5 linked regions of the Xenopus tropicalis genome follow. The protein of the gene in region 5 binds, or shares a complex with, the protein of the main gene of each other region. Links are inferred from orthologs where the notes say so. Each region holds a gene or a part of one and is shown on either strand. Other genes may lie near its edges.

Region 1 (6,107 bases), about 61 Mb from region 5:
TTTTGCAACAGAATAGGATTATTGATATACTCTTTCCTGGATGACATCTCTCCTGACATTCTCATCCATACTTTTTCTAGGTACACTCCTGCAAAAGCCAGCCATGGCAGATATCTAGAAAGGTAAAATCTTATTAATATCTGTGCAGAGACATTTTGGTTTTTATAACTGAATGAGATTTCTAACTAATGGTCTGTCCTCAGGCACAAGTTTGTAAATTGTGTTAATCCGGAAAAAAACTGATCTGTGGAAATGTGTCCAAAGATTCTGACCCAAAAGGGCAAAACAAACAGCATTACATTACGTTATGCTGTAGTTATAACAGCAACGGTAGGAACTTTTTCATTTCTATCAACAGAGCAGACTGTTTTCCTTAATAATTTGGAGATACTTAAAGATATCCTAAAACTATGAAGTCAGGCAGTAAGTTGCTTTGAAATTTTTACTAAAATTTTTTTTTATGTTTGCATGTGTTTTTCTGCATGATGTATGAAGAACAATTTTGTGACTAGGTTAAAGGAGAACTAAACCCTAAAAATGAATGTGGCTAGAAATGATGTATTTTATATAATTAACTGACTGGACTGGAGATATATGTCTGTCATATAAGCTGATTCTAAAGGGTTAATTATTCAGTTCTGATGATGTTGCCCTGGTTTCAGATGTGTCATTTAATGTGAATCTGAATTAATTACTAATAATCTTTTTACTGTTACTGTTATATTCTATTTATGCAGTATATTTTGAGTCGGTCCCTAAGCTCAGTAGCTCAAAGCAGCACAGAACATGTGTAGGGAATCAGCAGAAAAGAAGATGGGGAGTTACTGGGCATCTGTGGAGGCACAAATCTTCCCTGCTTAAGGGCTGTGGTTGCCTTGGGCTGGTACAGAAACCCAAAACATAATGTATAACATTTCTGCCCTACTTCTTTAGTTAGGCTTTAGTTCTCCTTTTAAAAGGCTTGCTTCTGATGCAATAAGTATTAGGCTTTGAGCAGCAACAAACGTTGTTAAGTTAACCATTATAGTCAGAACACTACTTCCTCACAGCTCTCTAACCTCTTAGTCATTGACTTTGGGGGGGGGGGAACATGGGACTGTTAGTGAGACTTAGGGGCTGATTTACTAATCCACGAATCCGAATCCCGAATGGGAAAAAATCGGATTGGAAACGAACATTTTGCGATTTTTTCGTCGCCGTCACGACTGTTTCGTAAATTGTCGCGACTTTTTCGTAGCCATTACGACTTGCTCGGAAATTGTCACAACTTTTTTGTAGCCATTACGACTTGCTCGTAAATTGTCACAACTTTTTCGTAGCCATTACGACTTGCTCGTAAATTGTTGCGACTTTTTCGTAGCCGTTATGACTTGCTTGTATATTGTCGCGACTTTTTCGTATTGAGCGCTCGTAAATGGCGGGCAAACCTTTGCGACTTTGCATGATTTTGGAAGCCTCCCATAGGACTCAATGGCACTCTGCAGCTCCAACCTGGCCCAAGGAAAGTCACAATACTGAAGCTTGAAAGAATCTGAAACTTTCGTACTCGGCGCGACAGCTATGAAAAAGTCGCGAGAATTTACGAGCAAGTTGTAATGGCTACGAAAAAGTCTCGTCAATTTACGAGCAAGTCGTAATGGCTACGAAAAAGTCTCGACAATTTACGAGCAAGTCGTAATGGCTACGAAAAAGTCTCGACAATTTACGAGCATGTCGTAACGGCTACGAAAAAGTTGCGACAATTTACGAGCAAGTCATAATGGCTACAAAAAAGTTGCGTCAATTTCCGAAAAAATCGCAAAATACCGATCATTACGAATGAAACGCATTCGGACGTTCGTGGATTAGTAAATGTGACCCTTCGTTTGTGAGCAAAAGCAAACTAACTGAACAGTTCCTTGTGCGACCAAAAGCGATGTGTATACCATCCCACAGGCAATTTACATTCTTGCTGATGGAAAGGCATTTCAGAGATTAGTCGCCCGCAATGGTGAAGATTTATCATGGGCGACTAATCTCCGTGTGCCACTGCCCTAACGGCTATTATGCTAGACACCTGCTCACCCCAGCCTTTATAGATTACATTTTCGCTTAACAATATTGAGAATATTTATTTTGTGCAGTCTATTTTACCCAGTTTCATTTTTTACACTGAACTGTTACCCTAATGGTTTTACAATTGTGTCTGTAAAACGCAGATCTGTGCATTTGATTGTTACTATAACCAACATAATAATCAATAACTGCAAAAAAAACTAAAATTACTAAAATTTCACTGGGCTTTACTTTGCTGGTGGCAACCAGGAAAAAAAAAATCTTCCTTCCCTATATGAATGACTGCTAAGGAAATATTTGGAGCTGAGGTGGCAGAAGGCAACTGACATGAAAAATAGTCTTTTTCTCTTTTCTAACAGAAGTAGGAGTAGAACTGGAAGCTGACTTTCTAGCAGCTGCCTACTGTGTGACGCGATTACGTAGGCTCGTTACTCCCAGGCGGCTGCGTAATGCGTCATTGCGTTACGTGTAGTCGTGACGCCAGTCTCGCGTGATGAGACTTTGACGTCGGGATTTTCTGTAAACGAGACTAGAAGCCGGCAGGCTTTGCGGGAAGAGTAAGTAGTGATACGGGACTGCGGGTTTTGTAAGGAAAAGCGGGACTTTCGGGCAGTATGCACATACTTGGATTGCCGCCCTCCCCCTTCTGTCATTGATTTGGGAAGGGAGGGCGGAAGCTAGGGTTCCTATGTGTTCTTTCCAAATTGAAGGATGTGACGGCAAAATCATGCAGAACAGCACGTGGAAACATAAAAAAAAAATCAGCGTCAAAATTTCAAAGCAATAAGAATGTAGAAACTTAATAGTGTCAGGATATCTTTACGTATCTCCAAATTATTAAGGAAAACAGTCTGACCATTAGAAATCTCATTCAGTTATAGAAAACAAAATATCCCTGCACAGATATTAATAAGAGTCTACCTTTCTAGCTATCTGCCATGGCTGGCATTTTGTTTGAAGACATCTTTGATGTAAAGGATATTGATCCAGAAGGAAGAAAATTTGATCGAGGTAAGCAGCATAGCAAAGCCAAACATGTCTGCTCCAAACATGAAAGGTCCATTTATTTTCTTTACATTGCTAATGTTGTGACTTTTCTTCTAGTGTCAAGGTTACATTGTGAAAGTGAGTCTTTTAAGATGGATTTGATCCTTGATGTTAATATACAGGTTTATCCTGTGGACTTGGGTAAGTTGGGATTTGTTGTCTGTACATTGACATGATTATAGCAGTCATTTTTGAAATAGGAGTCCACTTTAGAGACAAACACAATATCATAAAATGAAAATAATATTTTCAGTGGATTTATGTTTTGCAAACACAACGTCTAAAATGTCAAAAACAAAATTGACTTATCTGACAGTTTTCAGCCTTTTGTTACCTGTTAAGTAACACTCTGCAAGTGTCGGTGAACCCTTAGCAACTATCATTTGCAAATACAGTTTATTTAGTCTGTCTGATTCTGGGTCTTGCCAGTTGTAAGACCAGAAACAAACTTTATTATGGTTAATGCATATCTTGGTGCAGTGTGCTGTTGGGGTGGTATCAGAAGCTGGAGGATTTTTAGGGTGAATAGGAGTTGATCCTCTAGTTGTGTAAGTAGCACATACCTGAAGTAGCTTGTAAAATCTATGGTGCGGGTTCTATAGATCTGCTTTATGGGTTCCATTCTAAAAAAAAATGATGGCATGGCTGGCACTGCATTGACTAAACACGGTGCATAAATGCAAAGATGTATTTAAATTCTACCACATTACCAGTGTTTTATGAAGATTAACTGCACAACAGTTGTTAAATTGTGTGTCCTCTTACTCTTCTTCCACAGGGGATAAATTCCGCTTGGTTATTGCCAGTACGCTCTATGAGGATGGTACATTGGATGACGGAGAGTACAATCCTACTGATGACCGACCCTCAAGGTATCATATTACTGCAGATAAATAAAAAGGAACATATGGTTCATCCTGTTGGTTTCCAAATTATAGTCTTTGTGAGGCACGTGACTCATGCATTGCATTTCTTCTTTTAGAGCTGACCAGTTTGAATACATCATGTACGGCAAGGTCTATCGGATAGAGGGTGATGAAACTTCCACAGAAGCCGCTACCCGCCTGTAAGAATCCAAATCATCTACCCAGTTACTTGCTTCTTCATCTTAAACCTGCATGTGCTCTTTGTATGAAAAGACAAGAAGGTTTTTGCACCTGGGCCAGAAAGGCAACACACAGAAATTATTAGGGATGCACCAAATCCCAGATTCGGTTCGGGATTCGCCCCAAATCCTGCCTTTTTTTGATGGATTCGGTTTCGGCTAAATCCACTGTCCCAGCCGAACCGAATCATAATTAGCATAAATTTGTATATTCTAATTAGCATCCAGAAAGGGTTAAAATTTAGGGGGGGAGAATCCACTATGCGAGGATTGATCGTCGCATAGTGGATTCTGCCCTGCATCGCTGTATCACCCTCTTTCAAATGACCGGAAGCCAAGATTTAGCAGGTATTTTCTAATAAAGCATTCAAAATAATAAATGGTGTGCAGGATAGGGCAATTATTGGGGCAGGGTAGAATACATTTTTTAATTAAAAATTTTTAGTGTTACTTTTCCTTTAACAATTATTGCCAGGCTCCACCATGCCAATAAGCTGAACTGTAGACCACATCCAATAAGAGGATTACTCCTATTGGAATCTATGGATATGGCAAGCCTAGAACTCCACAGTAAGGGTTATATTTATCATGCTGTGTAAAAAAGTGGAGTAAAACAGTACCAGTGATGTTGCTCATAGCAGCAAAATCAGATGCTTTGCTTTGGTTGAACTGTTGAAATCTAATTGCTGATTGGCTGCCCTGAGCAACATCACTAGTAATGCTTCACTCCACTTTTTACACAGCATAATAAATATACCCCAAAGTCTACAATATAGTGGGATGGAATTTAAAGATAAGGGTGCATGTTTCAGATTTACAGTTTAATCAGTAGAAGGTGATTTATTAGGGAATTCTCTGACATCTCTCACTTTTTAATAGACACCAAATTGAATTGTGCAGAATAAGCAGCACCATTTATGGTGGATGAAAGCAAGCAATACTAATAGGGTTTATTTTTCTGTAAACTTGAAAGGGACTTATGTTTCACTTGTGCCCTTACTCTTTCACACAAGTTGCCTCTACTTTCCAATATTCTCTGTGTTCCATAACGTGCTCATGTTTCCTCTAGGTCTGCATATGTATCATATGGAGGACTTCTAATGAGGCTTCAGGGAGATGCTAACAATCTGCATGGATTTGAAGTGGATTCTCGTGTTTACCTCTTGATGAAGAAGCTGGCTTTCTAATGCTGAAGGGAATTATTGAATGGTGCAGTATTGGAATGTAATATAGACCCTTTTGACATCTTGTATTTTTTTGTATTTTAATAAAATATTATTTTGTGATAAATAGTTCTTTTGAGGTTTTAATAATGCAGTCTGTGACATTTTAAAGGTGATCCTTTATGTTCTTAAAGCAATATACAAAAAAAAATCTCAACCAGTCATCAGTTAAATGACTGGTGCAGCTGGTTAAAAAAAAAGTTTTTTTTTCTAGGCAGTCTAATTGGCTTTTAAAAGGAAAGCTGGGTTCTGAAACAAAAGGCACTTTAGGCATGCATTTTGTCCTCTTCATGATCATTATTGTGGAGATCCACAAAGAGACAACATTGTACTAAACTAGTGATGCTATTTTGTAGCGATAATACTCATTGAGATACTAGAAAAAAGCTACTTTTTCATCAAACTCTGCCAAGATAAATTGCTACACTTCAATCTACAACATCTAGGAAAGTAGCCTCAAAGTAATGCAACAAGATACTAACAGAATTGAAGTCAATAGGTACTAGGGTTATGGTTTTTAATTTCTTTATTCTCCTACTTTTCTTTAACAATGTTTTAATGTACAGATTTTAATTGCTGAAATAAAGGTTGATTTTATTTATAGGTGTGCCAACAAACTGTGTCCTTTGAAACATAATATATTCAATTGTGGAGGTCTTTGAACTCTGATAAAGGTT
Region 2 (4,763 bases), on a different chromosome or scaffold from region 5:
CCTTAATGCTGTGCGCTTTTGAGTCCAGTGTACACAACAAACTGGTGCGCACAAAGACTTTTTTTGTGAAAACACAACATTCTACATATATACTGACCTTAGAATATTGGCCTGTACATGCCAATGAGCCTGTCTTAGCCTTACATATATTGTATGCAGATTGTTTGTCCAGAACCACCATTGTTGTGGGGGAAGCCAGAACTTTTTCTTTCTTCTTGGGACCCAAGATTTGTGGTGGAGGCCCTGGTATCACTATATCCTATAGCAGTGTTTGGCAACGTCATATGTATCTCTAATGCAGTTTCTGCTGTTTTTATCTCTAATGTATGTTTTTCATTTTGTTTCAGGGTATTGTCAATAAAGTTGCACCCACACATATAGGTTGTTTGGTACATGGCTGTTTCAACGCTTCCATACCCAAGCCTCCCAAGATGCCCATTGAAAATTGGCAGCGTATTGGTGTTAACATAGATGACGAGATAGAGTTTGAAGTATTCCGTTTAGATTCTGATGCTGTCGGTGTATTTTGTATACGTGGAAAGCTGGATAGAAGGTGATTTGTTTTTTTGTTTTTCTGTGAGGCCAAAACAAGTTTCTGCCAATATAGTCTAAAACTCAATATTTTGGTTTGCATGGGTTCAGTACAGTTAATTTAAATTTAACGTGTTGACAACAAATCTTATTTTTCCTAATCAGATTAAATATAAGAAAGATTAAATGTAAGAAAGGAAAAATAAGATTTGTTATCAACACGTTAAATTTAAATTAAGTCTTCGATTTTCTACTTTTTAATTTTGTTCCCATGTTTTACTTTTTTGGTGATACATGTTAAACTACATGAAATTATACATAACTTTATACAATATATGTACAAATCGTTGCCTTAATTGTTTGTGTAAACCCAGAATATAAAGACATAAAATAAAAATCCTACACTTTAGGTGGCAGATACATCTTGCCTCCTTCATCAGGAGGTCTCTAATTCTGAGTTTATCTACATTATGTATATTAATTTTTGTGTTTTGCTGCTACAGAATGGAAGATAAAGCTTACGAAACCCCATGTGAAGAAACTGCTGAGCAAGCTGATGATGGAACATCTGATAAAGATGCAGATGCCCTGGAAAGCTCAAATATGGAATCCAGCGTCCAAGAAAATGGTGATGTTCAGGAAAAAGCAAAGAAAAAACGCAAGAAACAGAAATTGCAAGAGTCGCTTACACAGGAAGCTGAGAGCACAGGAGATCATTCTATAGTCACAGATCCAAATCTAGAGAGTCCTGGAGAATTGCATGAAGACATTTCAAATAAAGAACGCAAGAAAAAGAAGCACAGGAATGTTCCTGGGCAAAATAGTGAATCTGATGCTGAGAAAGGTGTGGACAGTACAATCCTTGAAGACGGCAATATTACTGAATCACCAGTTAATTTTAAACCAAAGAAATCCAAGAAGAAGAGTAAGGAGATAAGTAATTCTAATAGTACCTCTGCTTTTCTCAATGGAGTAGTAGAAGATGAAAGTTTTTCAGAAAGTGCCACTGTTGAACCAGAAGAAATGACAGCAAGTGGTGGTGACCCAGATAAGGTTAAGAAAAAACACAAGCACTCTTTTGTGGAGCAGATCCCGGACAGTGACCTTGTCACTTGTATCTCATCCGAAGGATCTCTCACCAAAGGCCTTGTTATCTCTCAGGAAACTCCAAAGGCAAAAAAGCATAAAGCAAAACATCAGGAACATTTACTGCCTGGCAGTGGCTCAGGGTCATCCCAAAGCAAGCACAAAAAGGCAAAAAGACACCATGAAAATGAACCAGATACTTTGGCTGCAGAACCCAAGATTAAAAAGAGACATAAAGAATGACATGTTTTTAACAATACTGTAAATTTGTATTTTCAAAAGCAAAAGTGTATTTTAATAATGTATGTGCCAATGTAAAAATTATTTGGAAGTTTAAAAATCAAATATGTTTAGGAGTTCCACCTATTTATTATAAAGTGTGCCTTGTGCTTTCTTTCTTTCTTTCAAACATTTTACTTCTGGCCATTCTATAGGGCCCCCAGCAGTGCATATGTACCAGGGTTCATGCATTAGGTTAGTAAATAGACAGACTTTCATTGATGCACTTGTGCTTTTGATAGGTCCAGCTGTACTGCTGATTGGATCTTTAAATTAATAAGCACAGCCACACATGCTGTAGCCCAAATTGTGCAGGCTCAGCATTTCAGCCATATGTATCCTGTATTTAATGGAAAAGGGGTTAATTAAACAAGAATTGGGGTTTCTAAATTTCCTAACCTGAACCTGTACCGGAAGGAGTTAGGTGCTCTACTGCCAGTCAATCACTGCCTTTTTTCACTTAACCCCGAATTTGTGGCAAAATTGGAAAATATCACTGTGACTGATAATGATCCAGCATTCTATTCCACAGGAAGCAGAGGTAGAGGAAAGTAACCATGAGGATCATTTATGGGTCTAAGCCCTATAGTAAAGGAAAACCATAATGATGATAATACCTTGAAACAAGAAGCAGAAAGAACAGGTTATTTTTAATAACTTTCTGAGGTTCCTCCTGCATAGACCGTCAAAGACACAAGTCCACTTTTTTAGCAACCAAAAGGATTGGATCTCTTACAGATACCCTGAAGGCCTATGGAACCCATCTTAATGCCATAAGAGTCTTACAAGATGCCTGGTGATTAATTTGCATATAAAGCTGCCATTTCAGAATATACTATAGATGTGCTTAATGCAACCAAGCCAAATGGTTTGAATGTCAGTTGTAACTGCATGAAAAAAAGGCATTTTAAATTTTCACACATGGGTTTCATGTTACCTATGTATTTGCAGTATCAGTAGTGCCTTTAAATTGAATGTGTGTGTGTAGGCTACATATGCATTTGCTCAGCAGGGCCACTAGATGTCACTGTTGTCTTATTAAATATGTGCCCATTGCAGGGGAATTAGACTGCTTGCCTTTAAACAGACTTTCTGCCTGATAATCGTCTTGCCCAGTTTAGTTTCCCACATTTTTGTGTTTGTTTTTTCCTTTTGCTTGTTCTTTAACGTATGAATTAACAGAAACAAACAAGTGTAGCAGCCCTGTAGAATAAAAGAACAGATGCACCTAGTTATATCCAGACACTTGCCGGATGGAAGAAGAAAAGACTAACAAGATCCCTCTATGCAAGGATGGGCAACTTCCAGCTATTGCCTTTTGTAGCACTGCTGATAAAGTTTGACAGCATCCAGGGACCAGAGGCGCCCAATCACATTATTAGTACACAGTTCCTCTATATGTTGCAGGACTGGCTGAATAGAAAATGATATATAGAATATAACCTTGTTGCTATTAAGTGTTATACAGCCCATACCTGTGCATATTGATATGAGCAGCAAGTTTTTTCTTTGACATAAGACTTGTCAAAATTAAAAACTCCCACACGTATGCTCCTGCGGAAAAGAATGCCAAAGTCTGCTTTAACTTTCTGCTGTGCTAAACCCATTGGGCAGGTACCTTTGAGTATAACATATAGCCCATTATTTTAGAATGTGAAAAATGTTATATGTATTTATATAGCACCCACACATAATGCAGCACTTGATGCAAACTGTTTATTTCTGACATGAGTCCCTTTTATACACAGCCAATCCTGAATAGAAAACCAGTAAAACTATGTAGCAGCAGTGGACTGTCCTCCATCCAAAAGTCCAATTCCTACAATAACGTGTACGCTCTGTGGTTAACTGACCTGAGAAGGAGAATCACACAAGGGTGCAAGCATTGTGGGAAGCCAGTTCCTGGTTTGAGGAAAGGCAGTGGTGGGAATAGCAAGGGGCAAAAGCAAAATGCTTTTGATTGCAATTGCAAAAAAAAAAATGTGGATTGAATCATTGCTAAGAATTGTTATTATTTAAGGTGTTGTGAAGCAGTATCTGGCTGTTTACAATCTCTGAACCTCTAATTCCGACTCCTGAAAAGATTTTGCAGGAGCCAGCTGATCTGGAGGAGAACTGATTTCTGCTGCACTCAGTCAGAGCCTGAGAACACAAAGAAACAAAACCAGCACTACTTTTGACATGAAATTACATTTACAAATGACTGTAATGGGAAAACATTTTTTTTTTTTTTAACGCATCAGTTAATAGAGCTTCTCCATCAGAATCCTGCATTGAAATCCCCTTTTTTTTTAAATTTTTGTAATTTAATTTTAAAATTTCACATGATGCTATCCATATTCTTCATTTCCCAGGGTGCCACAGCCATGTGACCTGTTCTCTGATAAATTCAGTCAAACTTTACTGCTGAGCTGCAAGTTGGAGTGACATCACCTCCCTCCCTTTCCCCCCCAGCAGCCGATCAGCAGAACAATGGGAAGGTAGCAGCTCCCAGTATGTATCAGAATAGCACTTAATAGTAAGAAAGTCCGGCTTGGGACTCCTCCAGTCACATAGGAGTAGGAGAAACAATAGGTTATCTGATAGCAGTTCCAATGTGTAGCGCTGGCTCCTTCTGAAAGCTCAGACTCAGGCACAATGCACTGCGATGGCTCCTACACACGAATATTACAGCTAAAAATTCATTTGTTGGTTCAAGAATAAAATTTTAAATGGTAGAGTGCATTATGTGCTATGTAAACAGTGTATTTTAGAAATAAAAAGTACACCATAAAAATTATGACAATCCCTTTTAATGAGTCTCATCTTTTTGTATTGTGCAAAAAATACAGTTTTGTTTAAATAATAATATGCTGTAAATGGAAGCG
Region 3 (6,029 bases), about 29 Mb from region 5:
TGATCTGATTGTTAGACCCAGGGATCTACCCAATTTGACTCAGTACACAGGAGGCCAATGAAGCACAGTTTCTCTCCTTTTTTACACAGTGCAGTTTCTGAGCCGTCCTGAATGTGCAGTGACAGGATTGAATGATATTCACCATCCAGCAGATGGGGTGGATTTTGGCCAAGAAATTAGAAGTAGAGTATTGTAGAAATGATACCTATTTTGGCTAACAATAAAAATACATTGCGAGCTCTAAGGCCCCTTCATCAGCCCAAATAAAGGGGCCTTAGAGCTCTGAAAGCTCGCAATGTATTTTTATTGTTAACCAGTATAGGTATCATTTCTACAGTACTCTTGTATTTGTGTTTTTATTTAATTATTTTTGAAACTGGCTAAAACAGTACTACAGTTTTTTATCGCTGCTGTTGTGTGATGTGTGTGTGTACAGTGACAGGTGGGTCTCATTTATTACTGTCACTTTGAATATGTGATGGGTAACTATAGAATAGGTGGGACTTCGTTTACTTGCCTAAGAGAAAAACAGAAAAAGACCTGACAAGGAAACACAGTTTTCAGGAAAATTATTGAAAATGTAGGGTGTAGTTTTAAATAAATGGTTTGCACAGATGATTTGTGCTAAGACATATTATTGGGCCAATGTTACTAAGGGCTTTGACTGTCCCTTACAATAAGGGTGAAGACACACTGAGCTACTAGTAGCAGCTACTTTTTCATGGCTACTAAACTCCAGAAAATCCCCTGCCATAGACAATACTGAGAATTGCCTCTGCTAAAACACACATAGAGACAATTATCAGTAAATGATCAGTATTGTTTGTTTTAGTAGCCACAACAAGCAGCTGCTACTAGTAGCTCCGTGTGTCTTCACCCTTAAGATCCACAAACTTGGATCTTTAAGCCTGGTACAGTTACCTGTAATCAACCAGTCGTTCCAGCTTTTGTATGTAGGGGGTCAAGGAAGAGAATTGGGAGCCTAGTTAGTAAGCCCCGAATGCCCTAGGGACTAAATCCAGTTCACTATTGCTGCCTATTGCTTAGTATAGCTGTAACTATAGCTGCCTATTGCTTAGTATAGCTGTAACTATAGCTGCCTATTGCTTAGTATAGCTGTAACTATTGCTGCCTATTGCTTAGTATAGCTGTAACTATTGCTGCCTATTGCTTAGTATAGCTGTAACTATTGCTGCCTATTGCTTAGTATAGCTGTAACTATTGCTGCCTATTGCTTAGTATAGCTGTAACTACAGCTGCCTATTGCTTAGTATAGCTGTAACTATTGCTGCCTATTGCTTAGTATAGCTGTAACTATAGCTGCCTATTGCTTAGTATAGCTGTAACTATTGCTGCCTATTGCTTAGTATAGCTGTAACTATTGCTGCCTATTGCTTAGTATAGCTGTAACTATTGCTGCCTATTGCTTAGTATAGCTGTAACTATTGCTGCCTATTGCTTAGTATAGCTGTAACTATAGCTGCCTATTGCTTAGTATAGCTGTAACTATTGCTGCCTATTGCTTAGTATAGCTGTAACTATTGCTGCCTATTGCTTAGTATAGCTGTAACTATTGCTGCCTATTGCTTAGTATAGCTGTAACTATAGCTGCCTATTGCTTAGTATAGCTGTAACTATTGCTGCCTATTGCTTAGTATAGCTGTAACTATTGCTGCCTATTGCTTAGTATAGCTGTAACTATTGCTGCCTATTGCTTAGTATAGCTGTAACTATTGCTGCCTATTGCTTAGTATAGCTGTAACTATAGCTGCCTATTGCTTAGTATAGCTGTAACTATTGCTGCCTATTGCTTAGTATAGCTGTAACTATTGCTGCCTATTGCTTAGTATAGCTGTAACTATTGCTGCCTATTGCTTAGTATAGCTGTAACTATAGCTGCCTATTGCTTAGTATAGCTGTAACTATAGCTGCCTATTGCTTAGTATAGCTGTAACTATTGCTGCCTATTGCTTAGTATAGCTGTAACTATTGCTGCCTATTGCTTAGTATAGCTGTAACTATTGCTGCCTATTGCTTAGTATGGCTGTAACAAGGATGTCCAAAGGGATCAAAGCTGAAAGGAATGACCAAATGTTCTGTATGGGCCAACTGTAACAATAGTGAGGCAATAATTGAAAAACTGGGTGGGTTATAGGGTTTTTAAAAATCAAAAATTAAAACCATGTCCATTATTCACAAAAACATGGCAGTGTAACTTCAAATAAAATACTAAGTTTGGGATATCAGGAGCAGACTCTGAGGGTAGTGGGTATTGCTGGTAATCACCAGAAAAATAAAGCTTTTTTTCATATTTACCTCACCCACAAATATAAACAAAGTGTTTTTTTTGTTCCCATTTACATGTTCTGTGGAGCAGAGAAAGCAAATATTTGTTTTTTCATCAAACACTGGGGATAAAGCTTCTAAGGGCAGTGGCCATGGCAAGGAAACACGAAGGAAAAAAGCAGTCGTTATTTTCTTTATTTATTCTCTAACAAAATCAGAATCTGTGAGAGCAGAATAATCAGTCAGCGGCCCCCACTGCCAGCTATTGCCTGACTAACTCTTCACCCAATGACGAGTTGGCGCCGTCTCCGCCCCTTTTATACGTGGTTCATGACGTCATATTCTCGCGAGAGGAGGCTAGCGGCGTGTGGCTGAACATGCCTGCGGGATGCTTGGGGCTGGAAGTGCAAGCGGCGCTGCGGGGAATGTAAACACAGTGTGAGGGGGAAGCAGCCCGCTTGTCTGATTGTAACCGAGGGGAGATGGATGGGAGCAGCGAACGCAGTGCGGAAAGGGAAGATTCCGAGGAGGGACCGAGTGAGGAGGAGGTTCTGGGGCTCCAGCTGCCGGTGCCAAGAAGGAAACCCCACGGTAAAGACACTTAAGGGTATATTGATCATGCTGTGTAAAAAGTGGAGTAAAACATCACCAGTGTTGTTGTATATAGCAGCCAATCAGATGCTTTGATTTGATTTTCTAACTGTTGAAATCTAATTGCTGATTGGTTGCTCTGGGTAACATCACCAGTACTGCTTTACTCCACTTTTTACACAGCATGATAAGTACATACCTCCCAACATTTGAAAAATGAAAAGAGGGACAAAAAGATTTGGCGCGCGCGCAGTGCGGCATTTTTTTTAATCACGCCCCCTTTTGTGGCCACGCCCCAATTACCACACCCCATTAAAAAAAAATACCCCTTTTATATAGATGAAATGGCGGGCGCAGACGAAAATGTGCTATACCCTCATACTGTACTACCTAAGGAAAACAATATAGCAACTCCTACATATAAATACAAGTATAGAGAGAAGGCAGTCAGTTATAACTAAGTACCAGTTTTGCCCCCCCATACACAGTAGCCCCCCCATACACAGTAGCCCCCCCATACACAGTAACCCCCCCATACAGAGTAACCCCCCCATACAGAGTAGCCCCCCCATACAGAGTAGCCCCCCCATACACAGTAGCCCCCCATACACAGTAGCCCCCCATACACAGTAGCCCCCCATACACAGTAGCCCCCCATACACAGTAGCCGTCCCCCCGATCACAGTGTCCCCCCGATCACAGTGTCCCCCCCGATCACAGTGTCCCCCCCGATCACAGTGTCCCCCCGATCACAGTGTCCCCCCGATCACAGTGTCCCCCCCGATCACAGTGTCCCCCCCCACAGGTCCCCCCGATCACAGTGTCCCCCCCGATCACAGTGTCCCCCCCGATCACAGTGTCCCCCCCGATCACAGTGTCCCCCCCGATCACAGTGTCCCCCCCGATCACAGTGTCCCCCCCGATCACAGTGTCCCCCCCGATCACAGTGTCCCCCCCGATCACAGTGGCCCCCCCGATCACAGTGGCCCCCCATTCACAGTACCTCCCATAGGCGCAGGCTTCTTCTGCTGCTTCGTTATGCCTCTCCTTGTGCAGCGCGACAGGCCCTTTTATAAGGTTGCGCCCATGCGTAATGACGTCACACCCACAGGCGCAACCTTATAAAAGGGCCTGTAGCGCTGCACAAGGAGAGGCATAACGAAGCAGCCGACGAAGCAAGAACATCCGGCTACAGCAAGCGCATCCTGCTGTGCCGGATAGTTCCATGAATGTCCCGCAATGCGGGACAGTTGGGGGGTATGTAAGTATACCCCTTAGTAGTGACTGTCTGTGGCACCTTACAGCCCCCCTGGCATTCCCAGTACCCAGAGGCACAAACAGCCCCCCCAGCCCAATAAATAGTGACTGTCTGTGGCACCTTACAGCCCCCCTGGCATTCCCAGTACCCAGAGGCACAAACAGCCCCCCCAGCCCAATAAATAGTGACTGTCTGTGGCACCTTACAGCCCCCCTGGCATTCCCAGTACCCAGAGGCACAAACAGCCCCCCAGCCCAATAAATAGTGACTGTCTGTGGCACCTTACAGCCCCCCTGGCATTCCCAGTACCCAGAGGCACAAACAGCCCCCCCCCCCAGCCCAATAAATAGTGACTGTCTGTGGCACCTTACAGCCCCCCTGGCATTCCCAATACCCAGAGGCACAAACAGCCCCCCCCCCAGCCCAATAAATAGTGACTGTCTGTGGCACCTTACAGCCCCCTGGCATTCCCAGTACCCAGAGGCACAAACAGCCCCCCAGCCCAATAAATAGTGACTGTCTGTAGTACCTTACAGCCCCCCTGGCATTCCCAGTACCCAGAGGCACAAACAGCCCCCCCCCCAGCCCAATAAATAGTGACTGTCTGTGGCACCTTACAGCCCCCCGGCATTCCCAGTACCCAGAGGCACAAACAGCCCCCCCCCCAGCCCAATAAATAGTGACTGTCTGTGGCACCTTACAGCCCCCCTGGCATTCCCAGTACCCAGAGGCACAAACAGCTCCCCCCCAGCCCAATAAATAGTGACTGTCTGTGGCTCCTTACAGCCCCCCTGGCATTCCCAGTACCCAGAGGCACAAACAGCCCCCCCCAGCCCAATAAATAGTGACTGTCTGTGGCACCTTACAGCCCCCCTGGCATTCCCAGTACCCAGAGGCACAAACAGCCCCCCCAGCCCAATAAATAGTGACTGTCTGTGGCACCTTACAGCCCCCCGGCATTCCCAGTACCCAGAGGCACAAACAGCCCCCCCCCCAGCCCAATAAATAGTGACTGTCTGTGGCACCTTACAGCCCCCCTGGCATTCCCAGTACCCAGAGGCACAAACGCCCCCCCAGCCCAATAAATAGTGACTGTCTGTGGTACCTTACAGCAGCCCCTCTGGCATTCCCAGTACCCAGAGGCATTGGCCAGAACCCACAGATTGCCAGTCTGGGCCTGGTGTGGCTGTAGAGTTGCTAAATTGTATATAGGGAACCTCTGCCCTCAGTAAACTGATACATTTAGCCCTCATAAAGGAGACATATCATGTTAAAATTATGAATGTACCAGTGTATTATACTCCTCTAAATATGGAAGGATTGTGCTTTTAAAAGTCCCAGTAGTCCCGCCCATCTGTTCCACTTCCTGCTGGCTGAGTTCTTTGGATGTGCAGGGGGGCCAGCAGCACTCGGTATACTGCACTGTAGGATAGGAACCAACAATCAGCAGCTAGGCTGACCTGATAGGGAACTGAAGCCTGTCTGTGCTTGTGTGAGTGCAGGGCTGTGATTGGCTACTCCCCTCCTACTGTGCATCTGGCAGGGACCGTTCGGACACGCCTACCCCTCATTTGAAACACAGACTTGATAGGATCTATAGGGAGCTCCAATTAAGGGTTAATATTTACAGACCTTATTAATCTTAAGAGCAAAGTGAAACCAGCACCATATATTATTTATAATTGCCTACAAGATAAAAATTTTTGTATTTATCCAATATGTCTCCTTTAACACAAAATAAGTTTTGAGGCCAGAGCAGATTGGGGTCCAGCACTCGCACGCCTGCGCCAAAATTAACGTTGCAGTAGCCTGTGAAAAAAACTGTAAGTGCTATGACGGCATCCCCCTACCTTTGTTTCTTACTGTTTGGCTTTCTGCGTATTAGGGATGCACC
Region 4 (6,310 bases), on a different chromosome or scaffold from region 5:
TTCATCCTATGCTGGGCAGACCCTTAACACCAGCCTGGGAGACTCTCTACATGGACAAAAAGCAGAAAAAACATTATACTTGGCACTACTTTATACACATATCCTCTGGTATTTGGCAGGTCAAATCAATGTAGAATATTTAAAATTATTGTTTCGAGTTTACTCTTTGTTGAAAGAGAAGGCCTGTTTACAATTTTACCGTTATAAATGGTGCTTAGTGATGTAATTGAACTTCATTCACAATTTTGTGTGTAAGAAGAACTAATGTAAAACATGTGGATATTAGAAGTCACCTTGGAATTCAATGTCCTGGCCTGCAGCCTTGTGCCTTTATATGGTCACAGAACCCCTCAGTGACTTCTAATATCCTTGTTATTTACAGTAGGGGGTACATTATTCCTTACAATACATGCGTGATGCTCAGAGTTTTATAATACATGAGTGATGCTCAGAGTTCCCTGTATAACTCAGCCTGCAGAACCCCTCAGTGACTTCTAATATCCTTATTATTTACAACAGAAGTACAGGTATGGAATCTTCTATCCGGAAACCCGTCATCCAAAAGGTTCCCAATTAGGGGAAGGCCATCTCCATAGACTCCATTTTAATCAAATAATTCACATTTTTAAAAATGATTTCCTTTTTCTCTGTAATAATAAAACAGTACCTGTACTTGATCCCAACTAAGAAATAATTAATCCTTATTGGTAGGAAAACAATCCTATTGGGTTTAAATTATTTTTTAGTAGAAATGGTACAAAGATCCAAATTAAGGAAAGACCCCTTATCCAGAAAACCCCTGGTCCCAAGCATTTGGGATAAAGGATCCCGTACAGGGCCGCCGCTCCCTATAAGCAGAGTACTCAGTCTGCATAGGGCACCAACTCCCAAGGGGGCATCATCCCAGCTGCTCCAAAAAAAAAACATTTTTATATGTTATAACATACCCCCCCAACAATGTTCCGCCGGTTTTTATAGTGCATCCCGCTGTCCCGGATAGTTCAATCAATCTATGGGGGCTATTGGGGGCACTTACTATGGGGGCAATTGGGGGCACTGTGTGTGGGGCCCCTATAGTAGGTGTTTTTTTTTAGTATTTCATTTTTACTTACGTAATATTTGGGGGAGGGGGCACAAAAGTAAATTTCCGCTTAGGGCACCCATTTGGCCAGCAGCGGCCCTGATCCCCTACCTGTATATGTTTCCCTATATTTACAGTGTAGCTGGGTAACAAAAGACACAAGGCCACATGCCATAGAAACCTGAAGGGATAATAATGTAATACCCCTGTAATTCCTGTAAGGGGAGCCCTGAACACAAGAACAATCCCATAACACTGTACGGTTTAAGGCAGTATAAAAGGGTATGTAGGCATGGGCTGGGAGTAAATATCAGCTTGCTTGGCATTTTACATGCGATGGGTGTGTGGCAAACACAGTCGGGGCATTACCTATAATCTGCCCCTCCAGCTCTACCATTATGGTCACATGGTTCTGGTATGAGGTTAAGGATATTTGGAGTCTCACAGCTGCGACTTTTGGGGTAGTCCAGGAGATATAGGGGGTCACAGTGGCCATGTCTTACTGGAAAAGTGAAGGGGTCCTAAATGGTTTTGCTATTAAACCCAAACGAGTCTAGTGGCAGCAGTGCAAATGTGTGTGTGACGTGACTGATGCTGAACTACAGTTTTCAACAGCAGCGCCAGTTGCAGGGAATCGTACACGGCGTAGGAGCTGCCATACAAACACACCGATCAGTACGGGCCGAGCTCCGGCTACAGGACTGGGTACTAAGAAGCAGCGCTGCTCTATTTCCAGGAAAGGGCGCTCTGAGGTCACAATTCCCCACCCCGAGTCGGGCTAGGACTCTCCGTTCTGCCTGCAGGGGGCCCCCGCCGCCTCTCACCGTAGCACCCGCCCAGCACCGGGAGGGGACGGGATCCGGAAAGAGCAGACGTATCCCACCCCCGAAAGGGAGGAACTTCTGGCTGGGAGCCGGGATTCCTGTTGGGCGCGTCGGGAAGCAGCAGCGATGCGGTCCCGGTAACTGTACAACCCTAGTCCGGTGCGAGGGAGGATTAGCGCGGCAGCGACCCCCAGGCAAAGCCGGGTTCCTAGCCGTAAGGGCGGCCCGACTGAGCACTGCCGCATACCCAGCGGTACTCTCCCGTCTCCAGTCCCAGGGAGGGGTCGCTCCAACCTGACACAACCCACTGACTCTACCGAAGAACCGTCTCACCCGGGAACCCCTGACCCTAGCGAGTAATGCCTGCGGGGCTGGTCCTTACTGGACCAAAACACCAGCTTTCCGGGCACCCTATCCCGCTTAGTCCAACCCCCACCCCGGGCTCTGACTCTCCGTACCAGTAAATAGCATCTTTTCGAGCCCCCGTCCGTAGCGAGGAATACACCCTAACCTACCGCCCGCTTCCGAACCAGCGGCTCCCGAGAAAAGCGCTCCCCCCTTTGTTATGGACCAGCCGTAGCTCCGGCGTCCGCTCCTTCCCTGCCGCGGCACGGCTTCCACTAGTACGGATCAGCCCATTCCGCGACCCAGGGGGAGCCTCCGCCTTAAAACGCTTTTCATTGGGATCGCTGGTAGCCCCGACTCGTTCACCCTGTGCCGGGAAGCCGCTTGGGCTGCCTTGAGCAAGGTGCGGGGAAAGGCTCCGAATCGGATTCGGCTAAAGCAGAGCCCGTATGGTTAAACCATCAGACGATCCAGTCGGGCTGCCTGCGGTAGTATAATGCGCCACAGGCTCGGCCGACTTTCACCCACCTCGTTATTTGCCCACAATGGGTCCCTTCGCTTCTACCCGCGAATGATTCTTTCGCTCCCCGTTAGACACCGGCCGACTGCCTCCTTAACTACCGGCAGCGCAGTCCAGGCAGCATCTGTTCTTCCCGGGAAACAGGGTCACCTTCTACCCCCTCTCCGCTCCTACTCACCGTGAGAAGCGCCGTCCCCAGCCCGAGTCCCCTGCCAGCCCACGTGTCGCGCCCGGAAGCCCCGCAACAGCAGCCGGACGCCCCCTCGCGTTTCCCCGCAATATGCACCCGAGCCCCGGCCAGCTCTGCCTCATGTTCCCGGCCCCCTCCCTTCGGTGCTCCGAGCCGTGTCGGCGCAGCTCCCCGCAATCTTCCCGGGCACCCACCTCTCTGCTCCCCTGGGAACGTCTCTCTCCTTCCCCCTCCGCAGCTCTTACCTTGTTCCCAGCTGCCGGGCCTCACCTTCCGGCCAAGGGGGGAGGAGGAGCCGGAGACTCGGGGGAGAGCGACCTCAGCAGCCCCAGCGCGGAACTAGCAGCCTCTTCCCGAGAAAAACAAGCCAAAGCCCGAGGGGAGGGTGCCTGGGAGAGGGCGCAGCGGGAACCCGGGCTGCTATTGCCCTTATTGGGTTCCACACTGCCCGTCACATACAGTGCCCTTCCCCGCATTAAACAAACCCATGCCCCGCAGGGTGAGCCCGGGCAGGGAAACTGAGGCTACACGTACCTTCCCCATAACCGCAACGGGGTGAGTCGCGCAAGGTGACCGAGAAAAGTGCATGTTTCTCGGCAAGCCCGACTGAATCGTGCCCGCTTGGAGGTGACATTTTCCCCGGGTTTCCCCGCACACTAACGCCCTTCGGTGGCTACAAATTCCCCGGCCGGTAGTGGATTTTATACTAATCCAGCGATCTGTGCCGTATCCGTCCCCAGGTGCCCGCAGACCCCCAAGCCGGCTTACCCCACTGTCTCTCCCAGGGATGTTGGGGGGAATCTGCTTGTCCGGATCTCGGAGACAAAGCGGCTGCGGCAGCCCCTGGGTAATGGCGAGAGCTCCGGGGGAGGGGGGGCGCTGCCTGCTCCTTCTCCCCGCCCAGCGTCGCTGCAGCAGCAGCCGGGCAGACAGAACGCGGGGAGCCGCCTCCTCCTCCTCCCGCTGCTGCACCCTACACAGCCCGGCAGGGGGGCCTCGCCAGCTCCGGGGGAGTTCTATGGAGCTCAGTGAAACCCACCTCCTGTGTGTGTGTGTGCAGCCCGGGCTCGGCTTCCTCCTCCCCTGTACAAGGCTGGGGAAGCGGCGCTTGAATGATGGCCAGATCTGCAGCGCTGGCCCCGGGCGTGGACTCAGACCCAGTCCCCGCAGAGAGCTCGCACTTCCCCCGCCTCCATCGCTCTCCGTGCCTATACAGCCTTCCAATCAGCCAGGCCCCCTCCAATCTCTCCCTGCAACAGGCTCCAGCTGATCCCTCCATCCCTCCCTTTCCTCCATCCAGCCAGCACCGCAATCTGCTCCCCATTACCAGCTGCCGCTACAGGCACCCCTCACATTCACCTCATACGGCAGCAATTTGCTTCCAGCTGTTGTCCAACTACAGCTCCCAGATAGGCTGTGCGGGCATTCTGGGAGCTGTAGTCCAACAATACAGTGATCATGGTTGAAGCAGGGCTTGGTGGCTGCTCAGATCCGGCGGCTGCTGGCTGCTCAGCGCTTCCAACCATACACAGGCGCTAAACCCCCCATAACAGGTTTTTATTCCCTATATGTTGTTCCTGTCTGACTCTTATTTATCTTCTCCTTTTTTTTAACCTAATTTTTTTTTTGACTCCACCTTTGTTGTTGAAAGCGTCAGAGAGAGGGAGCCAATCATGGGGGAAGCTTTCCTGGCACATCAAGGAGGGTTTCTTCTCTCTCTCTCTTTAACATGAACAGCAATCAGGCATAATGAGCGGGGAGCAGCTAGAGATGCCAGGAGCCCATACTGTGCCAGGGGAAGGGCTTTGCGCCTTACAGTTATTAACCCTTATTTATATGGTACTGACACTGCAGCAATGAGCAGAGATTGTACACCAGCCCCCGCTCCAGTGGAGCTTACAATCTAAGGTTGCTACCACATTCACTAGGGTCAATTTATCAGTACCACTTAATCTGCCTGTATGTATTTGGAGTGTGGGAGGAATCCCAGGGAGTTGCAGCTAGTGCCCAGGCTAGAATGAAACCCAGACAGCAGTGCTAACCAGGGGTGTAACTATATACAGGGTTGAACTGGGGGGCCCTGTCCTGGCCCCCACTGTCTGCTCAACTCCCTCTGCCGTGTGTCTTAGCTTATGTGCAACAGGGGAGAGAGCGCCATGGGTTTTGGGCCCAGTCCAACCCTGACTGGGGTGGGGGGCCCGACTGCAGGGTCTGCTGTGCCTTAGTCCCCCCTCCCAGGCCCCTTTCCTACCTTAAATATACTGGTGCAGTCTGGCCGGATGGAGGGACTGGTTGCGCCGGACCCTCTCAAAAGCTTTTTATGCAGGGGGCAACCAAGTTATGCCACTTGTGCTAACCCCTATGATGCCCATTGGTCAGAGGCATGAACACTGAGACAACACTGAAATCTACTTTTGCTGGCCCAGTTTGGTTTTTCGGGCAATGTTGAACTGGGCCGGCAGGGCATGGGGAAAAAACAGTGACTCCCCTTGCAGGCACTGGCGCTCCCCCCCTCCCATTGCGGCCGCTAGGAGGAAGTCACACAGTGGTGGCGGGAGAAGCATACAAAAGCAGCTCACGACTGTGGTTGGGGGCCCCCATGCAGCAGCCCCAGTAGGCTTCGGACAACCCAGTCCAACACTGTTTTCTGATCAATAATTTCTATGCATGTTTAGGGTGTTAGTGGGGAGTAGGTGACAGGAGTGTTGTGGGTATATAACATAATTTGTGTCAGGGTGGAAAAGTTATTTGAGCACAAAGAACATAATAAACCCTAAGGCTGATGCCACACGTGGCGTTTTTACGCTGCGTTTTTTCTCAGCCTAAAAACGCAGCACAAGCCACACAGCCCCTGACTATGGCGTTTTTCAGCCTAGTACTGGTGACGTAGCAAATCCCGTTTCCATGGTGCTAATAGTGCAAAATAGTGAAAAACGCTGCATATTTCCGCTAGGTCTGGCAGCTGCCTTTGTGTATACATAGGAATATCTTGCTGTGCAAATACTGGCGTATTTCGTCAAACGGAAAAATCCGTGCTAAGGCGTTTTGTAGCGTATGTACTCTTTGTGTGGTTTACTTCGAGTCTTTTCAAGTTATTTCTATGGATGATGATATCGGGCGTTTTTCAGCCGCTGAGAGAATTAGAAAATACGCAGCGTAAAAACGCCATGTGTGGCATCAGCCTAAATATGTAGGAATTATGTTGGTTTGAAAAACCCAACATACTGTTCTTCCACTTCAGCTTATTCTTCCGCTTCTTCTTCTTCTTAGCGCCCCCCAATTTTCCCATTGACTTTTATGGGGAAATCCAACCTGCTGCCAGTCTCACAGAATTAACACCAGGGTCCCCA
Region 5 (6,191 bases):
TGAGGTAGAAGAAGAGAAGTTCAATAAAGGCATTATCAGCCACTGAAACAAAAGGTGATAATCCCCTTAACCAAAATATAGGGGTGGTATTTTGCAGCACACTGGTGCAACAAGTGCTATACATTTAAAGAAAAATAAAATATGTGTTAAGTGGAAGAAAGCTTTTGCAAATGTAGGGACCCATAGGGTTAAGCTCCCTATGGCTTTACACCCTACCTCTTCACATCTTTATTATTATTGGGTAAAAGCCCTTGTACTTCAGTTACAGTTGTAAAGCTATCCCTTATAGGTTTAGCCTGGTTGTACACGCCCCCTGCAGACTGATAAAGTGTCTGGCAGGAGGGTGTGACTTCCTCTTTGGCTGCCGGTCTGCTACCTAGTGCACCTCTCCATTGAGCCTGGGTGCAGACACAGGCCCCAGTAAGCCATTCCATCCAAATTAAAGTCGGGGACAGGGCCCCATGAACGTGGTTAAGCAAGAACAGGTTAATTAATATTATAGAAATCTCTAGGAGAGTTACACAGTCAGGACTTATATAGAAAGAGCAGCTCATTTGTTCCATCCAGGAGGGAAGAGTAAAGGAGTAGTCTCCTAACAGGCTTACTTGCCTTAGATTAGGGACACAGAAGTGCTAGGGACATAGGCCAGCAATTAACCCTGCCCTTACCTCTACCAAGAGAAGGGATCAACCGGTGAGCTTGCCTCCTACCACTCTGTTGGCTGTCTTACCCTGCCCATACCTCTTTATGAGAAGGGATAAACCCGAAGGCACCATACTTCAACTGATTGAACATTTGTACCTGCTTACCTCATCTGAGTGTGTATTGATATCCCTGTATTTACAATTTGGTCTTGGACAAATAAACAGTTTCCTTTGTTTGCAAGAGCTCCTGGTGTCCATCATCTATTCGTAAATCTGCATTACCATCTAATACACTACACAGTGGCAGTGAGAGGTATAGTATAACACAGGGGTCTCAAACTCGCGGCCCTCGGTACAATATTTTGTGGCCCGCACCAACGCCTTTGCAAAAGCAATGAATGGATCGCGATTTTTATTGCGATTCAAGGGATAATGCAAGGCATGTTCTGTGTGCACAATTAGCTCCTTAGTTAGCAGCTAATTGTGCACACAGAACGTCTTCCCATAATAACTGTTATGATGGCATAATGTCATTTCCGCAATCAGCAGCTCCCGCCCGCCGTGCCTTGCATTATCCGATAATGCGGCCCCCAGGTAAATTGAGTTTGAGCCCCCTGGTATAACACCATCCTCCAGTAATTTCTCCCATATAGCGGAGGCCCATCCTGATGTATGAGAGTCACATGTAACCAATGCTCTACAACTAGCCTGGTTTTGGTCCAATCTATCCCAAAATAGTGTTACACAATACAGAAACTATGAATAAAAGGCATTTAGTACTTCCACTGTATTCCCTGGTCCCAGGTACACTAGCAAACAATTTTTGGCCACCTCCACTCCATGCTCAAGAGAGTGCCTTTTTTGTGTTACTCGCTGTAGCCCTGGGGTCTGCTCCCCCCTATAGCTACACTGCTTGCAGGCAGCAGGTGTGCATACTTTTCTTTGCACTAAACAAAAGACGTATGTCATTTTAAGCATCTAATTGTACACATGTAATGGTATTTAAAAAAAACAAACAAACCATGAAATACAAAAGATATAAAGACTAATGTGGGAACTGTTGCTTTATGTCACACAGCATTGTTCATGTCACCATATATTTTACTTTAAAAATATATTCCCCCAAAGTCCAAATTCTCTAGACACTTCTGGTAGGGATGTGTGCCGCAAGCATGAGACTTCTGAGCATTTTTAAACTCAGTAAAAATAACTGTTTCCTTTTCACATTGGAAATTGTTTCAGCAGTAAAAATGCTGATAAAAATAATTTAGTCAGATTCAGTCTGAAGCAAACCAAAGCTGCCACAGTGTGAGTTAGCAGTTGAAATCCATACATACAAAGTTTTTACTCAATTAGGAGGCACATTGGTACTACTATAATCATACAGAAGTTGCCCAACACAACGTGGTGTTTGAAACTAGCTCACACTTAGTTTCACACTGATATTCATGGCTGCTAATTCAGCCACAAAATAACGGAAAACATAAGGTACTGATACAGTCTCAACAGTATCCGTACGATCGCAGACTTCACAGTGGTGTTTTCGGTTGCGTATGGATGACCAGGAAGGCGGAGGCTTTTCCAAGAAAGGAGAGAGTAGGCTTCCACATTCTATGCACACATGTGCTGTCGACCTATCCGAGCAGTTAAAAAGTCGATCATGAAGCAGGAAAGAGGTACCGTGGGCCAGCAGTGCATCACGCTCCATTTCTCCAAAACGTATCCCACCTTGAACATTACGGCCTCCCACAGGCTGGTTGGTAACTTTATCCCTGGCACCTGTTGTTCTAACCTGAAACTTGTCAGAGACCATGTGTCGAAGGCGCTGGTAGTAAACCACCCCAATGAAAATATCGGCTTCAAGTTCCAGGCCACTTATGCCACTGTATAGTTTCTCTGTGCCATAGAAATTGTAACCACCTGCTCTCAGCATTTCTCCAAAATATTCAAGGGCAGAGTTTTCTTCAGAAAATGTAAAGGGTGTGGCATCGTGGCAGAGACCATGCAGGGCTGCTGACTTTCCAGCCATGCTCTCTATCAGCATCCCAATGGTCATTCTAGAGGGAAATCCGTGAGGATTGAAAAGGATGTCCGGAACCATTCCACTCTCTGTAAATGGCATATCCTCAGACGGCCAAAGCCTACTCAAAATACCCTTTTGGCCATGCCGACTTGCAAATTTATCCCCGATTGTTGGATTACGGGGGATTCTCATGGTGACACAAACAGACTTAAACTTTCCAAAACCAATGTCATTACTGCAGATTTTGATGTTGTCAATTACACAGTTTTCTTTACTCCTAAAAAGAATAAATAAGAGATACGAATGATATCTGGTGCCTGTCTTATTATAAATAACTATGTGCATAAATGCTCTTTGGTCTTTGTTTGTACAACTTTATTTAAACCACTATAAACAATTTTCAAAGGGGGCTGCTGTACACAACATCAAAAAAGCAAAACAAGGTGTGGAATTGGAGTTATAACATACAATTAGGGCTCAAAGACGAGGAAATTAGGTGATTTGCCCAGGATCAAGAATTTAAACCAGGATCTGTAGTATCAGTATCAGATAGATAATGTATCCATTACTCCTTCTTGTACATTCAAAATAATACTAGGCCATTCATACAGGATCCCAGGGAACTGCAAGCAAATTAATACTTACTTGTAATAGGCAACAAAGCTCTCCCCTGTGTTAAGGTTCAGGTAGCCATAGTAAGGGTCTCCAAACTGCAGAACAGCACCAACAGCAGGGAGGCCATCGCTGTCCAGTCTTCCTTTCACCCGCTCATCATCTGGTTTGATGCCAAAAACTAGATTATCTTCTCCATCTTTAAGTTTTTTACTGAGATCCACGTGATCAGTTTTATACACACTTCCATGAGCAAAGCCTCTTTCCCATGATGACTTGTTCAAGACCTGCAAAACACCAGTACAGATGTCACCCCTGAAGCTGATACTGAACAAAAGATCTGGTTCTTGTATAAGGCTGATGCATTTATTGTGCACTGGAAACTTGAAGTTTTATTTAGTGATTTCTGGTCATTAGCTGGTATGTAGGCCAACATAAGGTCCCACTTATCAATGGTAGGCCCAGTGCCAAGTGCAATAATGGGATTAAAATGTTATCTATTAAAATAGTATGCTCCTACTTGTACTCCCTACAGTTTGGACACAAGGGTGCCCTTTACTTATCACCTGCCTTTAATAAGTATTAAGTACAGGCATCTTCTATGCATTGTGCCTAGTGAATAGTAGGCAAACAAAATGGATGCCCCCACCCCAAGGTGTAAATACAGACACACAGAAAATAAATATTTAATGTACGTAAAAGCAATGCCCTCATATTTTACAGTTTATTTAACAAAAATAAATTGATAACATTTTTAAATAGATAATATTATTCTTATTAATTATATGCATGACATCACCAACTATACCAGCGTTTCTGGTGATGAAGCAACTCATACTCCACCGCCTCTGGCGACTGCCGATACCTGTCCATCTCTGATAGTATTAGGGGGGGCGGGGGGCACACACTGGTTTTACAGCCTTTTAAAACCTCAGCCTAGGCTGGAAAGGGGCAAGTAAGTTTAAGAAATTACTACCTATGACAAATGTTTTTAATAATTTCAATAAATAAGCAGATATGTAAATCTCTATTCACCAAATTTGGGACAACTACTTACCATGGCATCCTCCATGTCATACCCTGTATACGAAATGACTGCTACGATTGCATTGGTGCCAATGGGATAGTTATCCATCTCATAATAATCATACATGGAAGGCCGAACTAAAGGACTCTGTGGGGTCTGTAGCCGGTACAGTTTGTTATCAGAGCGATCCTGATAAGTCATAAGAGGGAAGCCCATTGTCTGCTTACCTGGAAATAATGCAATTTATGAAATTTCAGGAAAAAGCAAGGGTCTCTTCCTCAAGTAATGAACTTTTCTGCTGCAATATTTAGCTCTACATACTATTTTATAGCTCTTACAAGAGTAGATTAAACTTAACCAGAACAAATCTTACATTCTTACCAAATTCTGATGCCCTGCTTAAAAGATGACTTACCCATCTGACACTGATACATGTTTCTGGGACTCTGGTTGTGGTCTGAGAAGGGGATAAAATTTGCTACTACACTCAGCATGCTGTGCGGGAAAAACTCCTGGTGAGTGGTCTCTCCGGGTACAATATCACCTTCATAAACTGCCACATTCAAGAAAACCTGGGGCAAACACAAGTAACACCAGTGAAATACAATACATTATGGATAATTCCTGCAAAGAAAATGAAACTTACAACAGATGTTTAACACATAATACAGGATCAAAGCTAGAGTCATGCAGGAGATTACCAATCAGAGACAATATTGTAATGGAATTCAAGAAGGAGCCTAAAATATGGTCATCAAATTAAAGAAGATTTACTTATGTACAAAACACTGAAAAATACCTGTTCCAAAGTGCCAAGCAATTCCTCTTTACCCAAGGCCAAATTCCTGACGGGACGTACCATCCTGCAGGGGGTGGTGAAAAGAAAAAGCCCAGGGTACAGACTTGCTTTCCCAGTCATTGGGATAAGGACAATTTCAGTCCATGGAGGCACATTCTTTTCATGTTTCACCTGCATTAATATAAAGCAAACATAAAAAACTATTAAGAGATCAAGTTGAAGAAGGTCTTCACTGCACTGATTGCCTCCCTAGTGAGTCTATGTGTCCTGTAGGAATTTAATAACTAGCAGAAAAAAATGAAAAGATAAAAAATGGATAAATCTGAAAGCTGGTTGCCTTTTAATTAATTAGTGTCCTTGTTGCAAAATTAATTAGTGTTCTCTTTGCTTTTGGTGCTTGGGTCCCCCAATTAGACAAAAGTGTGCAATTATTGTAACTACAGTGCAATTACGTTCTCTGTACTTTTCCCCAATTCACTAACCCATAACATCCAACAAACAGTTTTCCCTGACCTAGTACAGTTAGTAAAACATCTCACTGATGCTCTGTGGCTTTAGACTAGGACTAGTAATTCTTGCCATCCGGTATAATCCCAATTATTTAATATTGGCAAAGAAGCAAATACATTTTAAAGCTGTGGTACACTGGGAGATTAGTCACCAGCGACAAATCTCCCTTGCCTTGAGATGGCCGCGTATGCCATCCCACCAGCAATTTACATTCTCGCCGGTGGAATGGCATTTCGGGGAGATTAGTCGCCGGCGACTAATCTCCCCATGTGCCAGAGCCCTTAGTGGTACAGGCACATCATAATTTAACCATCCAAATATGTGGTCAAAGTAAACAGATACCTTTCTGACACTCTGTTAAATATTATAAACGTTGGCCAGCTTGCATGCTGTCTCCCAGCAAGGGGCAGTTTACCCTATTAGGGTTTGTGTCCAGGAAAAGAAAAATAATACCTTATAATTTCGAAGTGCGCTGACAAGGCCAGGAGCTATGGTTTTCTCCACCCAACCCACCATGGCTCCATCTAGCATGACAGGGTAGCAGTCTGCAAACAATTTTCCGGCTGTTCCATCAAC

The links.
Region 1: polr1b (region 5) and polr2h share a complex: the UniProt entries of both Homo sapiens proteins name them as parts of the pol I pre-initiation complex. The link is inferred for Xenopus tropicalis from reciprocal best matches to the Homo sapiens genes POLR1B and POLR2H.
Region 2: polr1b (region 5) and twistnb share a complex: the UniProt entries of both Homo sapiens proteins name them as parts of the RNA polymerase I (Pol I) complex. The link is inferred for Xenopus tropicalis from reciprocal best matches to the Homo sapiens genes POLR1B and POLR1F.
Region 3: polr1b (region 5) and taf1a share a complex: the UniProt entries of both Homo sapiens proteins name them as parts of the pol I pre-initiation complex. The link is inferred for Xenopus tropicalis from reciprocal best matches to the Homo sapiens genes POLR1B and TAF1A.
Region 4: polr1b (region 5) and ubtf share a complex: the UniProt entries of both Homo sapiens proteins name them as parts of the pol I pre-initiation complex. The link is inferred for Xenopus tropicalis from reciprocal best matches to the Homo sapiens genes POLR1B and UBTF.

What each region holds. Positions count from the first base shown.
Region 1 is NC_030681.2:99,526,908-99,533,014, reverse strand, and holds polr2h (DNA-directed RNA polymerases I, II, and III subunit RPABC3), read left to right. Parts: upstream 1-2,599; 5' UTR 2,600-2,612; intron 2,613-2,984; 5' UTR 2,985-2,993; coding exon 2,994-3,066; intron 3,067-3,159; coding exon 3,160-3,243; intron 3,244-3,880; coding exon 3,881-3,974; intron 3,975-4,084; coding exon 4,085-4,168; intron 4,169-5,276; coding exon 5,277-5,394; 3' UTR 5,395-5,497; downstream 5,498-6,107. UniProt on the Homo sapiens protein: DNA-dependent RNA polymerase catalyzes the transcription of DNA into RNA using the four ribonucleoside triphosphates as substrates.
Region 2 is NC_030682.2:38,624,181-38,628,943, reverse strand, and holds the end of twistnb (DNA-directed RNA polymerase I subunit RPA43), read left to right. Parts: intron 1-347; coding exon 348-553; intron 554-1,034; coding exon 1,035-1,860; 3' UTR 1,861-3,494; downstream 3,495-4,763. UniProt on the Homo sapiens protein: Component of RNA polymerase I (Pol I), a DNA-dependent RNA polymerase which synthesizes ribosomal RNA precursors using the four ribonucleoside triphosphates as substrates.
Region 3 is NC_030681.2:9,681,070-9,687,098, forward strand, and holds the start of taf1a (TATA box-binding protein-associated factor RNA polymerase I subunit A), read left to right. Parts: upstream 1-2,612; 5' UTR 2,613-2,768; coding exon 2,769-2,877; intron 2,878-6,029. UniProt on the Homo sapiens protein: Component of the transcription factor SL1/TIF-IB complex, which is involved in the assembly of the PIC (pre-initiation complex) during RNA polymerase I-dependent transcription.
Region 4 is NC_030686.2:18,521,687-18,527,996, forward strand, and holds the start of ubtf (nucleolar transcription factor 1), read right to left. Parts: upstream 4,156-6,310; 5' UTR 3,729-4,155; exon of another isoform or gene 3,495-3,728; intron 3,360-3,494; exon of another isoform or gene 2,949-3,359; intron 2,921-2,948; exon of another isoform or gene 2,779-2,920; intron 2,718-2,778; exon of another isoform or gene 2,421-2,717; intron 2,328-2,420; exon of another isoform or gene 1,751-2,327; intron 47-1,750; 5' UTR 6-46; coding exon 1-5. UniProt on the Homo sapiens protein: Recognizes the ribosomal RNA gene promoter and activates transcription mediated by RNA polymerase I (Pol I) through cooperative interactions with the transcription factor SL1/TIF-IB complex.
Region 5 is NC_030681.2:38,745,499-38,751,689, reverse strand, and holds the end of polr1b (DNA-directed RNA polymerase I subunit RPA2), read right to left. Parts: coding exon 6,069-6,191; intron 5,277-6,068; coding exon 5,106-5,276; intron 4,879-5,105; coding exon 4,722-4,878; intron 4,534-4,721; coding exon 4,337-4,533; intron 3,567-4,336; coding exon 3,313-3,566; intron 2,945-3,312; coding exon 2,062-2,944; 3' UTR 1,684-2,061; downstream 1-1,683. UniProt on the Homo sapiens protein: Catalytic core component of RNA polymerase I (Pol I), a DNA-dependent RNA polymerase which synthesizes ribosomal RNA precursors using the four ribonucleoside triphosphates as substrates.